3 linked regions of the Elephas maximus indicus genome follow. The protein of the gene in region 1 purifies or fractionates together with the protein of each later gene. This does not show direct contact. Links are inferred from orthologs where the notes say so. Each region holds a gene or a part of one and is shown in the gene's direction. Other genes may lie near its edges. The genes, in order: GIPC1, SH3BP4 and ARHGEF12.

Evidence for each region.
Region 2: the proteins of GIPC1 (region 1) and SH3BP4 purify together in Homo sapiens (affinity purification with mass spectrometry; 4 studies listed by BioGRID and IntAct, with this or other methods). This does not show direct contact. The link is inferred for Elephas maximus indicus from reciprocal best matches to the Homo sapiens genes GIPC1 and SH3BP4.
Region 3: the proteins of GIPC1 (region 1) and ARHGEF12 purify together in Homo sapiens (co-immunoprecipitation; 4 studies listed by BioGRID and IntAct, with this or other methods). This does not show direct contact. The link is inferred for Elephas maximus indicus from reciprocal best matches to the Homo sapiens genes GIPC1 and ARHGEF12.

The regions. Positions count from the first base shown.
Region 1 is NC_064821.1:33,083,666-33,087,409, reverse strand, and holds the start of GIPC1 (PDZ domain-containing protein GIPC1), read left to right. Parts: upstream 1-1,240; 5' UTR 1,241-1,350; intron 1,351-3,744. UniProt on the Homo sapiens protein: May be involved in G protein-linked signaling.
Region 2 is NC_064824.1:137,113,491-137,117,234, forward strand, and holds the start of SH3BP4 (SH3 domain-binding protein 4), read left to right. Parts: upstream 1-1,057; 5' UTR 1,058-1,209; intron 1,210-3,744. UniProt on the Homo sapiens protein: May function in transferrin receptor internalization at the plasma membrane through a cargo-specific control of clathrin-mediated endocytosis.
Region 3 is NC_064835.1:12,969,926-12,973,669, forward strand, and holds the start of ARHGEF12 (rho guanine nucleotide exchange factor 12), read left to right. Parts: upstream 1-1,396; 5' UTR 1,397-1,440; coding exon 1,441-1,472; intron 1,473-3,744. UniProt on the Homo sapiens protein: May play a role in the regulation of RhoA GTPase by guanine nucleotide-binding alpha-12 (GNA12) and alpha-13 (GNA13). Acts as guanine nucleotide exchange factor (GEF) for RhoA GTPase and may act as GTPase-activating protein (GAP) for GNA12 and GNA13.

The DNA.
Region 1 (3,744 bases):
TGGTTCAGTGCTACGGCTTCTAAACAAAGGGTCGGCAGTTCAAATCCACCAGGCGCTCCTTGTAAACTCTATGGGGCAGTTCTACTCTGTCCTATAGGGTCGCTATGAGTCGGAACCAACTCCATGGCAACAAGTTTGTTTTCAATAACTAGATGCTTAGGGGGTGCTCCTTGGAAACTCTGTGGGGCAGTTCTACTCTGGCCTATAGGGTCGCTATGAGTCGGAATCGAATCGACAGCACTGGGTTTCTGGGCAGGGAGCCCTGGAGGGATAATGGTTAAGCACTTGGTCAGCGGTTCAAACCCCCCAGCCGCGGCAGAAAGATGCAGCAGTCGGCTTTCGTAAAGATTACAGCCTTGGAAACCCTATAAGGCAGTTCTAAGTTCTATATAGCCCTACAGGGTCACTATGAGTTGGAATCGACTGGACAGCAACGGCTGTACTAGATGCTTTCCTTAGGTGTGCTGTATCTCCCCGTCCGACCTTCAGCACAGGCTGTTCCCTCCGTGAGAAGCATATTCAGTGATGTGTCTGCAGAGCTAAGACAAAGCCTGGCACGGAGCAGGAGCACATTAAATATCTGATGAGTGAATGAATGAATAATTGCCCTTGTCCATTGTGCACCCCCAGGAAGCAGGGACACTCGGGAGCCTCCCTATTCATCTCGGTCCCCGCACACGCACACAGGCCTGAAATGAATGCATCCTTTTATCCACTCCGAGGATAGCCAGAATGGAGCAGGGGCAGGCCGGGAGGGGGAGTGGATTGGTGGCTGCTCTCGGCGCCCTCTCAGGCCTCCTAAAGAGTCTGCTTTTCGGGACTTTGGGAGTTCTCATCCTCTCCGCGAAATTCACCTTCGTCCACCTGACTTCCACGACCAGCGCCCCAACTCCCTTTTCTGCTGCTTACCACTCAGGACAACCCAGACCGACACTCAGCAAACAGCACGTGGTCCAGGGGTCCCAGCTTCCCATTGGCCGCTCGCCTTTTTCCTCCCCAGCGATTGGCCTGGGCCCAGCCACGGTCCACCCCTCCGCAGCCCCACGGTGGTACAGCCCAGCACGGCCCAGGCAGGCGGGACGGTCCACTGCTCCGCGGTGCGGGGGGGGGTAGGGAAGAACCGGGTGAGGCGGAGGGATCCCTCTGGAATGTTTTCGTCGGACCCACCCGACGCGCGGCGGTGCGGATTGGTCGCGAACACTGGGCCGCAGCAGCTGATTGGCCGGACGCACGGTGTGGACCCCGCCCCCTGGCCGCGGCTGCGGCAGAGGCCCGGGCCGGAGTTTGCGGAGGGCCGAGAGGGGCGCGAGCTGGTAGGAGGCGGCGGCGGAGGCGGCGGCGGCGTCGCAGGTGAGTATACCCTGGGGAGGGTCGGCCGCTCGAGGACCCCGGCGGGGACACGCGGGTTACACGGAGTCGTGGACGCGAAGTAATACGGCCTACCGAGCGATGCGGCGCGCGGGGTGGGGTCGGCCCCGTGGAGCCCGCTGGAGTTCGAGGCCCGGTGCTGGGATGTCTGAGGCTCCTTCCCAGCGAGGTGCGTCTCTTCCTGTCGAGGGCAGGGGGCAAAGGCCTCTCCGCCTCCTGGCTGGGTCTCAGGCCGCAACTCCTGTCCCCCTGGGCAGCCCTGTCCGGCTGGGGATGGGCGCAGGGTCGGTATTTCTGCCCCCTGCCCTGGCACCTCCCTGGAACTCGCCGCGTGTCTCAGCCCTCCAGGGGCTGGGGGGCTGGGGAGCCGGGGAGAATAGAAGTCCCGATACTAATCATGAAGAAATCACACTGGCTAGCATTTATTGCTTCCGCGTCAGGCATTTACCATGGTATCATGGAGTCTAAACATCTCGTGGGAGGTGATGCTACTTCTTTTGGAGGTGAGGCAGCAGCGCCAGAGAGGTGGAGAGACTCATCCAAGGTCACACAGCTGGTCAGTGGCAGAGCTAGGACTCGAACCCATGCTTTTCAAAATCCAGAACTGGGGTTTCAACCACCAGACCAGATGGCCTGTGGCTCCATAGCTCAGGCGTCCCTGTCTGGTTCCTCTGCCAGCCAAGCCCCCCTACCCGCACCCCACATACACCTCACCCAGCCACACCTGCTGGGCTTTTCATCCCTCACCCAGAGGTCACTAAACACCAGCCACTCGAACAGGAAGCTGCCCTCGTGTGCCTTCTCCACTGAGCTGGAAAGGGAAGATACAAATACCTGGGTCTTGAGAAGAGGTGACATCTGGGGGATGGGGGGCAGATGGGCAGGGGGCCAGGACGCTGGGGTCTTGTGCCCACTGGGCTCCCTGGGCAGCCTGGGCCGAGACTAGAGCAGTAGGCATTTCCCCAAGAAACACCCAGGAGCCGGTTTTTCAAGGCTGAATCAGAGGTCTCCCGCCCTCCGTCTTGCCAAAGCAATAACACTGCTGGAAGGGGGAGCCTGGGCGTGGTGTCCCCTCCAGCCTGTGTGAGCTCCCAGGAACCCCCTTCCCCACTTCCTACTTCCTCAACTGTGCTTCTGTGTGGCTCTGGGGTTGCTAAGTTTCCGGCCTTCCCAGGGATGAAAGGGTGGGAATACTGGAATTCGGGCCACCCCACTCTGTGCCAGGGCTGAAGCTCTTCTTATCTCTGTGTTCAGGTTCGAGGGGAGACTCTGGGAAGGCAGGGAAGTGGCAGCAGTTAGCAACTCCACAGTAGGCATGGTGGGGCACTCTTCTAAGAATGGGGGGCTCAGAAAGCAGAGTAAGGACATAAGACATTCATTCATTCATTCCATAAATATTTATTGATCATCTACTATGTGCCATCTACAATGGCACAGAGGGTACAAGACAGGCAAAAATCTCTGCTCTTGGGGAGCTGGCATTCTAGTGGGGGGGAGCAGGCCACAAACTAACAAGTAAAGGAGGTACCTTCAGATCGAGGTCAGTGCTATGAATAAAATATAAGGGGGTGACATGATAAAGAGTTACTGGGAGCACGGGGGGGTGGCTCTCGGAGGAGGTGATTATGGAACCAAGGCCTGAATGACACAAAGGAGCCAGCCCTGCGAAAATTAGGCTGAGGGCAAAGCCAGGGCAAAGGCCGTGATGCTGGAACGAGCCTGGAACAGTGTGATTGGGGAGGAGGAGACAGGGCCAGAGCATTGATTCTGCAGGGTTTTGTGGATCACAGTAAGGAGTTTGGAGTTTTTCCTCCGTGAGGTGGGAACCGTTCTAAGGTTTGAGGCAGAGGAGTGACATGATCTGGTTTATGTTTTAAAATAGAGTCATAAAGTTAAATAACAGCCCAAGGCTGGAAGATAAGAGTTTTGCCAGGGCAGCTTGTAATTAAGTTCATGGGCCTGAGCCTGCTGGACCACAGAGGCTGGGCCACAGAGGCAGTTCCAGCAGGCGGGGGCAAGCAGGGGAGGCTGCCTGGAGGTGGTGGCTTGGAGTTGGTCTTGGCAGACAGAGGACTGGGATGTTCCCGTGCAGGGTGGGTGAGGGGGCAATAATAATAATAATAACTCCCTTAAATGGAATATTGGAGTCCCTGGGTGGTACAGACAGTTCATGCGCTTAACTGCTGACCAAAAGGTCGGAGGTTCGAGTCCACCCAGAAGCACCTCAAAAGAAAGACCTAGCAGTTTACTTCTGAAAAATCAGCTATTAAAAACCTGATGGAGCACAGTTTTACTCTGACACACATGGGGTCGCCATGAGTCAGAATCAACTCGACAGCAACTGGTTTTAAAAGGGGTTATCAGGCAAAGTGTTAA
Region 2 (3,744 bases), on another chromosome or scaffold:
TCGGCTTCGGTTCTGGTTCCACCACTTTCACGTTGTGGCACTCAATCCCTCCCCGCCTCGGTTTGCTCATCTGTAGAATGGACTGGTAAGAGTAGCCAAGTGGTGGTATTTGTTGATGATTAAATGTGTCAGTCCTTGGAAAGTTCTTGCCACAAGGAAGGGGTCCGTTCATTCACTGAGCCTCTATTGAGGGCCTACTGCGTGCCAGGCAGGCTCCAGGCGCGGAGACAGGGTGGGGCACGGCCAGGCGAAGTCAGAGCAGAGCTCTGATTATTGACGCGAAGTGTTCATTTCGTCGTCGGCTTACAGGAAGCTCGCCTTCCTTTGTAATTAATAATGAGAATGCCTTTTTCTGCATTTGCCCCACAGCCCCTCAACGCTGCCTTCCCTACAGTAGGTCCTGGATGAAGGGGTTGTAGGCAGGAGTCCCAGCACTGCGCGCTACCCGCCGCGCCCTCGCCCTGCGCTCTTGCTGTTCCTCCCAGGGGCTCCCCGAGACGGCGCGGGCAGGATAGGGCGCGAGGAGCAAGGAGCGCGGCCAGAACCGCTTGGTAACCGGGGAGCACGATTCGGGGGCCGTCCGGCTGCTCGGACCCCGAGTCCCTGGCTGGCGTCGGGAGAAGGAGGAGGAGGAAGAGAATGCAGACCGGGACAGGGGGAGACAAGGAGGCGGGAGCGTCGCGGGGTTCCGAGACTCGCGGCGCCCTGCCCCCCCGCCCCCCGCGCCCCGGTCCCGGCCGCCACCACCTCGCTCCCAGGCCCTCGGCCCCGCCCGGCATGGGGACCGTCCCCCCACATCGGCCCCACCCTCCGCCCTGCTCCGGGGACCACCTCCCACCCCGCCCCGGAGCTAAGACCTCTCCTCCCCAGGGGCCGTGCCCCCAGAAAGCCCGCCCTCCGCCCCGCCCCGGGGACCACCCCGCCCTGGGGACCACCCCGGCCCCACCCCCGCTCTCGGCTCCGCCCGGCGCGGGGGACCACCCCTTCATTGGCCCGCCCCTTCCCGGGGACCGCCCCCGGCCCCGCCCCGGCCCCGCCCCGCCCCGGGGACCACACTCTGCCGCGGAGGCGGGGGCCGAGCGCTCCGGGCATCTGGGCGGTCTCGGCCCCTCGCCGCGGCCGCCGTGCTTCCCGCGGAGCCGCGCGCCCCCACCGGGCCGAGCGCCGGGCAGCGAGCACAGCCGGAGCCGCGGGGAGCCATGCAGCCAGGTAGGCGACCCGGAGCCGGCGGTCGGGGCGGACTCGGGCGCCCCGCGCGCTCCGCGGGCCCTCGGCCGGGCGCGGGCGATCCCTGCGGACCCTCCAGCCGCGCCTGGCCTCGCCTGGCCTCGCTCGGGCTTGGGGCTTGCACACCCTGGGGGCGCCCATTTCCCCGCTGCCTGAGTTCGGGGCCCCGGGGCAGCCCCGCGCTCCCCTCGCCGCCCCGCCTTGCGCGGGTCTCCCCGAGTGGCGGGCAGGCGGGGGTCCCCGGCGCTGAGCCGCGCTCGGAGCTCCCGCGTGCGCCCGGCCGGTCCCCGCCCCATCGCCGCGTTTCTTCTCCCGGGCTCGTAGCCCTGCGGGGACGGCCCCCTAGCCGGCCGGGCGGGCCTCGGGGAGCGAATCGGGGCGCGCGTTCGGCTCACGGGGTCATGGGGGCGGCTGGGGCGCTTGGAGGAGCTGGGGCGCCCTCCTAGCGCAGCTTGGGAAGGAGGGAAGGACACGCGGTCCTGGATTAAACTTGTTGGTGACAATGCACATTTCAAGTTCTTCGGAGAACCTTTGTTTTAGGATGAAAATCAAAACTCTGGTTTCTGGCTTGGCCGTCCAGTGACCAAGCAGCCGCGAGGGGAGAGCGCGGCGGCCTCGGGTGGGGAAGGGCTGGGATAGAGGCAGGTTGTTCCGTAGGTGATGTTGACGGGTAAACCCGCGCCTCAGTGCGGTCTAGTGGTCTGTTAGGATACCAGCCTTGGAGTCCTCGCGGCTCTTGGCCCGGGGCTGGCTCTGCAGCCGGGGGGACAGGCCCGCGCATGCCCTTGCCCCTGGTGATGGGCGCCCCGAGATGCCGCGGTTGCAGGCTGGGCCGGGCTCTTTGAGCGCCGGCAAGAGTTGTGGAGCCCAAGAGGGAAAAGAGATTTATAAAGGAAACTCAAGTTTAGATTGGTGGTGTAGTGGTTAAGAGCTATGGGTGCTAACCAGAAGGTCACAGTTCAGATCCACCAGGCGCTCATTGGAAACCGTGTGGGGCATTTCTACTATGGCCTATAGGGTCACTATGGGTCGGAATCAACTCGAGGCAAAGGGTTTTGTTTTGGTTTTATTTTTTGTAAGTTAGTGCAGCGAACTGCTACTGTGTACTTTATCAGTGAGAAAGTTTGCTTAACTTTAGTTCTGATTACAAATGCAATATACTCATGGAAGCAAACGTGGACATAAAGAGAAATGTACACAGCAAAGCTGAAACCATCCCTGAGCCCACATTCCTAGTAGCCCTTAACATTTTTACAAAATCAGGACCACAGTCTTGCAAGTTTAATCATTAAAACTACAGCGCAGCCTTGTCAGGCAGCCAGCCGTTGATCCTTAAACCAGAGTAACCCCACTATGCAGCGTTCCCCACCTTCTAAACATGATGGACCCTAAGGACCAAAGTTTGGGTTGATGGGCCTGGCTACCTCCCCACGTAGAGTCTCCATCCCACCTCTGGGCCCGAGAACTTTGGCCCAGGCCCGGTGCCTCTGAACCTGCCCTGTGGTTTTGATTCCTTGCCTTATAAAAATGAAGGCAGTGGTTCTGACTCTGTTCCTCAGGCCACCACAAAAATTAATGAGTGGTTTGTAAAGCATCTGACGTCTTTGGATGGGCCAGCGGCTGTACTTTACGTGCCAGGGACCATTTTGCTGGTCCACATTGCTGTCATCATCCCATAAAAGAGCCTCTCTCCTACCTGGCCATCCTGACCAAGAACAAGACTCCAGGAATGGCTGATGGCGCCTGGACCAGAACATTCCTGGGTCCTTGGTCAGTGTAGTCTGGCCAAGGGTACATCACTCAGAAAGTGGCAGAGCCTGGAGGAGACCCAGCAACCTCGAACGGCTTGTGCGTGGGGTGGTGTAGAACAGGGTTTTCTAACAGTAAAGGGGTATTGGTGTGATACTCAGGCAGGCCCCCAGTGGCACACTGCCTGAAGTTAGTGGAATGCTGAGGCTGTGCTTATCAGAGGGAACAGTTAGTTCTGGGAGAGAGGCTCGGGAAGTGGACAGACCTGGCTTCCAAGGGATTTGTTTTATGGCTGGCTTGTTTACCAGATGAACAATGACCAGCGTGGAGGCCTGGGGACGGTGTCCTGAGAAGCTTCTGCAAGCTTTAATTTTTGTATTTCCTGTTTTCCCAAGACTCCTGTACCACCCGCTGGTGTCCTTTCAAAACCAGTAATAGCAACCAAAAGCCCCAGTTAATTTTAGCTACTGAAAGCCCAAGTAAGAAGAGCTGCCTCCCAGCCTGCCTTTTGTGTCTCCTGCAGAGAAACCAGGCTGGAAGATCAGCTTTCTGTAACAGGTCTCCTGGGCTCCAGTTCCTCACTTGATGCTTTCATTGTTTAATTGTTGCTCCCGCCAATACATCGATCCGATCAAAGTCTAGTAGCTGATCACAGCTCAGGGAGGGGCATTTGTTTCCACTTCTGCTCTGGAGAGAAAGACCTGGAAGGTGGGCTGGATAAGTTGCCTACAGAGTGTCCTTAACCCTCTGTGTTATCTGTTAATATGC
Region 3 (3,744 bases), on another chromosome or scaffold:
TATACGTGCTTTTAGAAAATAAGGGCAACCGGTGCAGTCAAAGAATAAAAGTTTCTAGGACAAGGTGGGAGGTATTTCCAAAGAGCCCCTATTAAGTCCCCGGGATTGTGGGAGTGCTCTTTGGCGATCTGTAGTTAAAGCTGAGTTACTACACGCCAGACTTCAGCAAGACTGCAGCGCTGGGGGCGACGGTGGGTGTGTGGGTGGGACTCCCGCGGGCAGGACGGTTCCCACCTCCCTCCGCCCCGTGGAACTACTTTTTCGTTCCTCCAAACAAGGCTCCGGCGGAGGCGTCCGTGCGGGGGCGGCGCGAAATCTCAGACCTGGCGGGGCGGCGAGGGCAGCGCGACGGCTCGGAGCGCGGCGGAGGGATCCCGAGTGAGCCGGCTTCCCGAAGTCAGAGGGGAGGAGGCCAAAAAAGTCGGCGGGGGAGGGGACAGAGAGCTCGCGCTGGACGGGGCTGGGGCCGGGGAGGCAGAACCGGAACCGGAACCCGCGCGCGCGCCCGCGCTCAGCCGCGCAGCCCCCCGGCCGGCGTGCTCCCCGCCCCCCACGCGCGCTCCCGCGAGGGCCCCCAGGACCCGGCGAGCGGGCCCTGCGCGGAGTCTCCGTTGCCTCCGCCCGCGGGCGTCCAGGGCTGGCGCTTCCAGGCCGGGCCGGACGGGAACCTCCCGCCCCTCGCGGGAACCACCGCCTACCGGAGCGTCGGGGAGGAGCCGCCGCCGCCTGTGCCGATTGCGGAAGAGACCGGGCCCACAGGGATGGGGAGCAGCCCGCGGCGCTGAGAGAGCCGAGCCCCTGTCACCTCTGGCTGCGGGACCCCCTCCGCCCCAGCAGCCGCGCGCGGCTCGTCCCAGCTCCTGGAGCCTGGCGCGGGCGCTGAGGAGGACGAGAGCGGTCCTGCGCCCCGGGGACATGGAGCGGCGCGAGCCTGGCGCGGGACGGCCCGAGACGCTGCCGAGGCTGCAGCCAGGAGCCGCCGGCAGCCCCCGGTAGAGCGGAGACGAGCGGGCCCGGCTGCCGCGGCCGGCGGTCTGCGCCCCCGAGAGCCGGAGGAGGAGCCGGCACCCATCCCGACCTGATCCCTCCCCGGTCCCGGAGGGCTCCCCGGGCCCCCTGCCCCACGGCGCGCGGACTTCCCACTGCGACGAAGTTTTTTCCTTGTGCCTTCTTGAGGATTTATCGCTAGCTTTAGAACGCCCCTTCTGGCGAGCTTGACTTTCTCGGTTTGTTTTGGGAGATAACTGATTTTGCTCCAACCCATAGCCCCTTTCCTTGACCCTTTCCAATCGGATGTTCTAGATGACTGAATGGAGTTTTGAGTTGGACTTCTGTGTCCCTTACGGAGTCGGGCCTGATCCCAGAGCATTGGGGGTGGGGTGGAGGTGTTACTGTAAAATGCAAGTTGGATAAAAGGAGAACCTCTCGCCAAGGGCCCCAATGAGTGGCACACAGTCTACTATCACCGACAGGTTGGTATGAAGCTCCTCCTTCGCTTAGCCTTCTAGACTCGGCCGGCCCCCGCAGGAGAGGCAGCGATGCCCATTGCCTTTGCCCAGAGAAGTTGACAGCCATGGGAGAGGGGGTTGTTGCGGAGCTGTTCGAATAGCCTAGGGTTGCTGCCAAGTTATCGGCTGACTGAGTTTGGAAATGTTCGTTTTTCTGGAGAGAAACTGTTCTAGAGTCCCAGAGAAGGAGTAGGTCAAACCGAGATTGTGGTTTTCTGTTTGTAGGGGTTTTAGTATTCTGTACTCATCTTGGAACCAGAGGAAGGTCATTTTGGGTGAAGGTCAGTGCCTAAAGTCAGCTGGGTATTGGTGCTTCATCAGTGTGATTCCTGTCCCATGATCCTCTAGACACTGCTATATTTTAGGAATTTTTATCCGTGAACTTGATCTTGAGCCTGCTGCATGGTGATTTATGAATTTGATCTCTCTTACGTATTGACTTACACAATATTTAATTATCTCATAATTTTCCAGAATGTTAAAATTGCCAGTAAATCACAGCCTCTGGCTGGAAGCAGCATTAAGGAGCTGGGGAAAAATGAGGGAAAATCATGGGACTTGATTTTAATTGTTATATTTTAGTATTTCATTTTCCAAAAAAACATTTGCCTTTAAGGGCTTGTAAAAACCCTAGGTGATTTATGTAGTACAAATGCAGCAGGTGGGTTCGTTGAATTCTTTGTTACAGTACCCAGCGAAGTTGCACCTTTGTTTGGTGAATTGAACTAGGTGTCTGGTTGAAGAGACCCTCTATCAGTCTTAAGTTACTCTTCTCAATAGTAGATGAAGAGATATAAGTACATTTATTCCTTTGCCACATTTTGATGCTCGATTTAATTATGGCACTGTATTCTGAACTGAAATTTCAGCTTTTTTTTTTTTAAGTCAACCTTCAAACTGTTACATCACACACACAAAATAGATCAGATAACTGCATTAGAGGGCCAGGTTTTTAAAAACACTTTGATGAAAGTGCAACAATAGAGGTCCTGCAGAATTTCCTAATAGGAGCGTTTCACCCAATTGTAAGACTAATTTGTTGTTTTTAGAAGGGCCAAATTCCATTATCATACCATAACAGCTACTCCAGAAACAGAAGGACTTCCTCTTCCTGTTGGTGCTTTCCAGTGTCATGTGAATGTTCACCTAGAAGATTCCATTAAATGTTTAAACTATTTATATTCGTTCTTTGGTTGCATAGTCTTTAAAATGGGTTTTAATTTTCAGTTAAATCATTTTTTATTTTTCTGAGAGCACATTCAATGTGCTTTCTTCTCGTTACCCTCATTTCTTTTTCCTTTCAGGGTGTTTTGCTTCTGAGAAATCACTTTCACGGGTCTGTGGGTAATTGTTTTCCTGTTTCATTCAATTCTTGCTCGGTCTGTTGAGCCTGTGGACAAAAAGTCTGATTAGGAACTAATGTGTTTGTAGTTTTTATTGTGATGCTAGAGGTGTTTAATTTTACAGAAACAGAATTTAGGGCCACCAGCTTATTCCACGCGTAAATCACCTAAAAAAAAAAAAAAAAGCATCCAAATAATGACCTTCAACTTTGCTTCCCAGGATTTTCTTTATATTTTCATTATTTTAGAAATTATAATCTTGAGATTTGTGTCCTTTTTATAATTTGGGTGTGGGGTATAGACATTCAGTATGCAATCGTTGAAAGCCAGGCACTGTGCTAGGCACGAAAGGTTAGTATTCTAAGATTAACCTGCAGATTAGTTTAGGTATTAATATCCTTGAACTGGTTCAGGTGTTGCCTGATTTTACATATTTTTAGGAGGAAAAACAAAACCCTTTTAAAACCAGCTTTATTTAATAAGCGCTGCTAAGACAGCATGGATACCTATTTCTCAGGGGTTTATTATTATTTTTTTTAACATACGAGCTTTTTTTTTGAACAAAATACGTTCTTATGTGACCACTACATTTTCTTTAAGCCTTTCTTATTCTGTAAATATCTTACCCTGTAAACATCAAGCTCTTGAGGAGAATAGTCGTCCTTGACTTGAACAGATGTTGGGGTGAAATCTGGAAATACTGGTTTCGTAGTATTTCTGAGCTGGGGGACCTTCACAAAGTTATGAGCATAGAATAGTCACTCGTTTCCTCTCAGCCCTACCTACTTCATCCTCTTTTCTCACTGTCTAACTCCAGTGTATTGTATATTTTGCTGATTCTAGAGCTGTTGGTAAATTAACAGTGGCTGTGTAGCTTTTAAAAGATCCTTTTA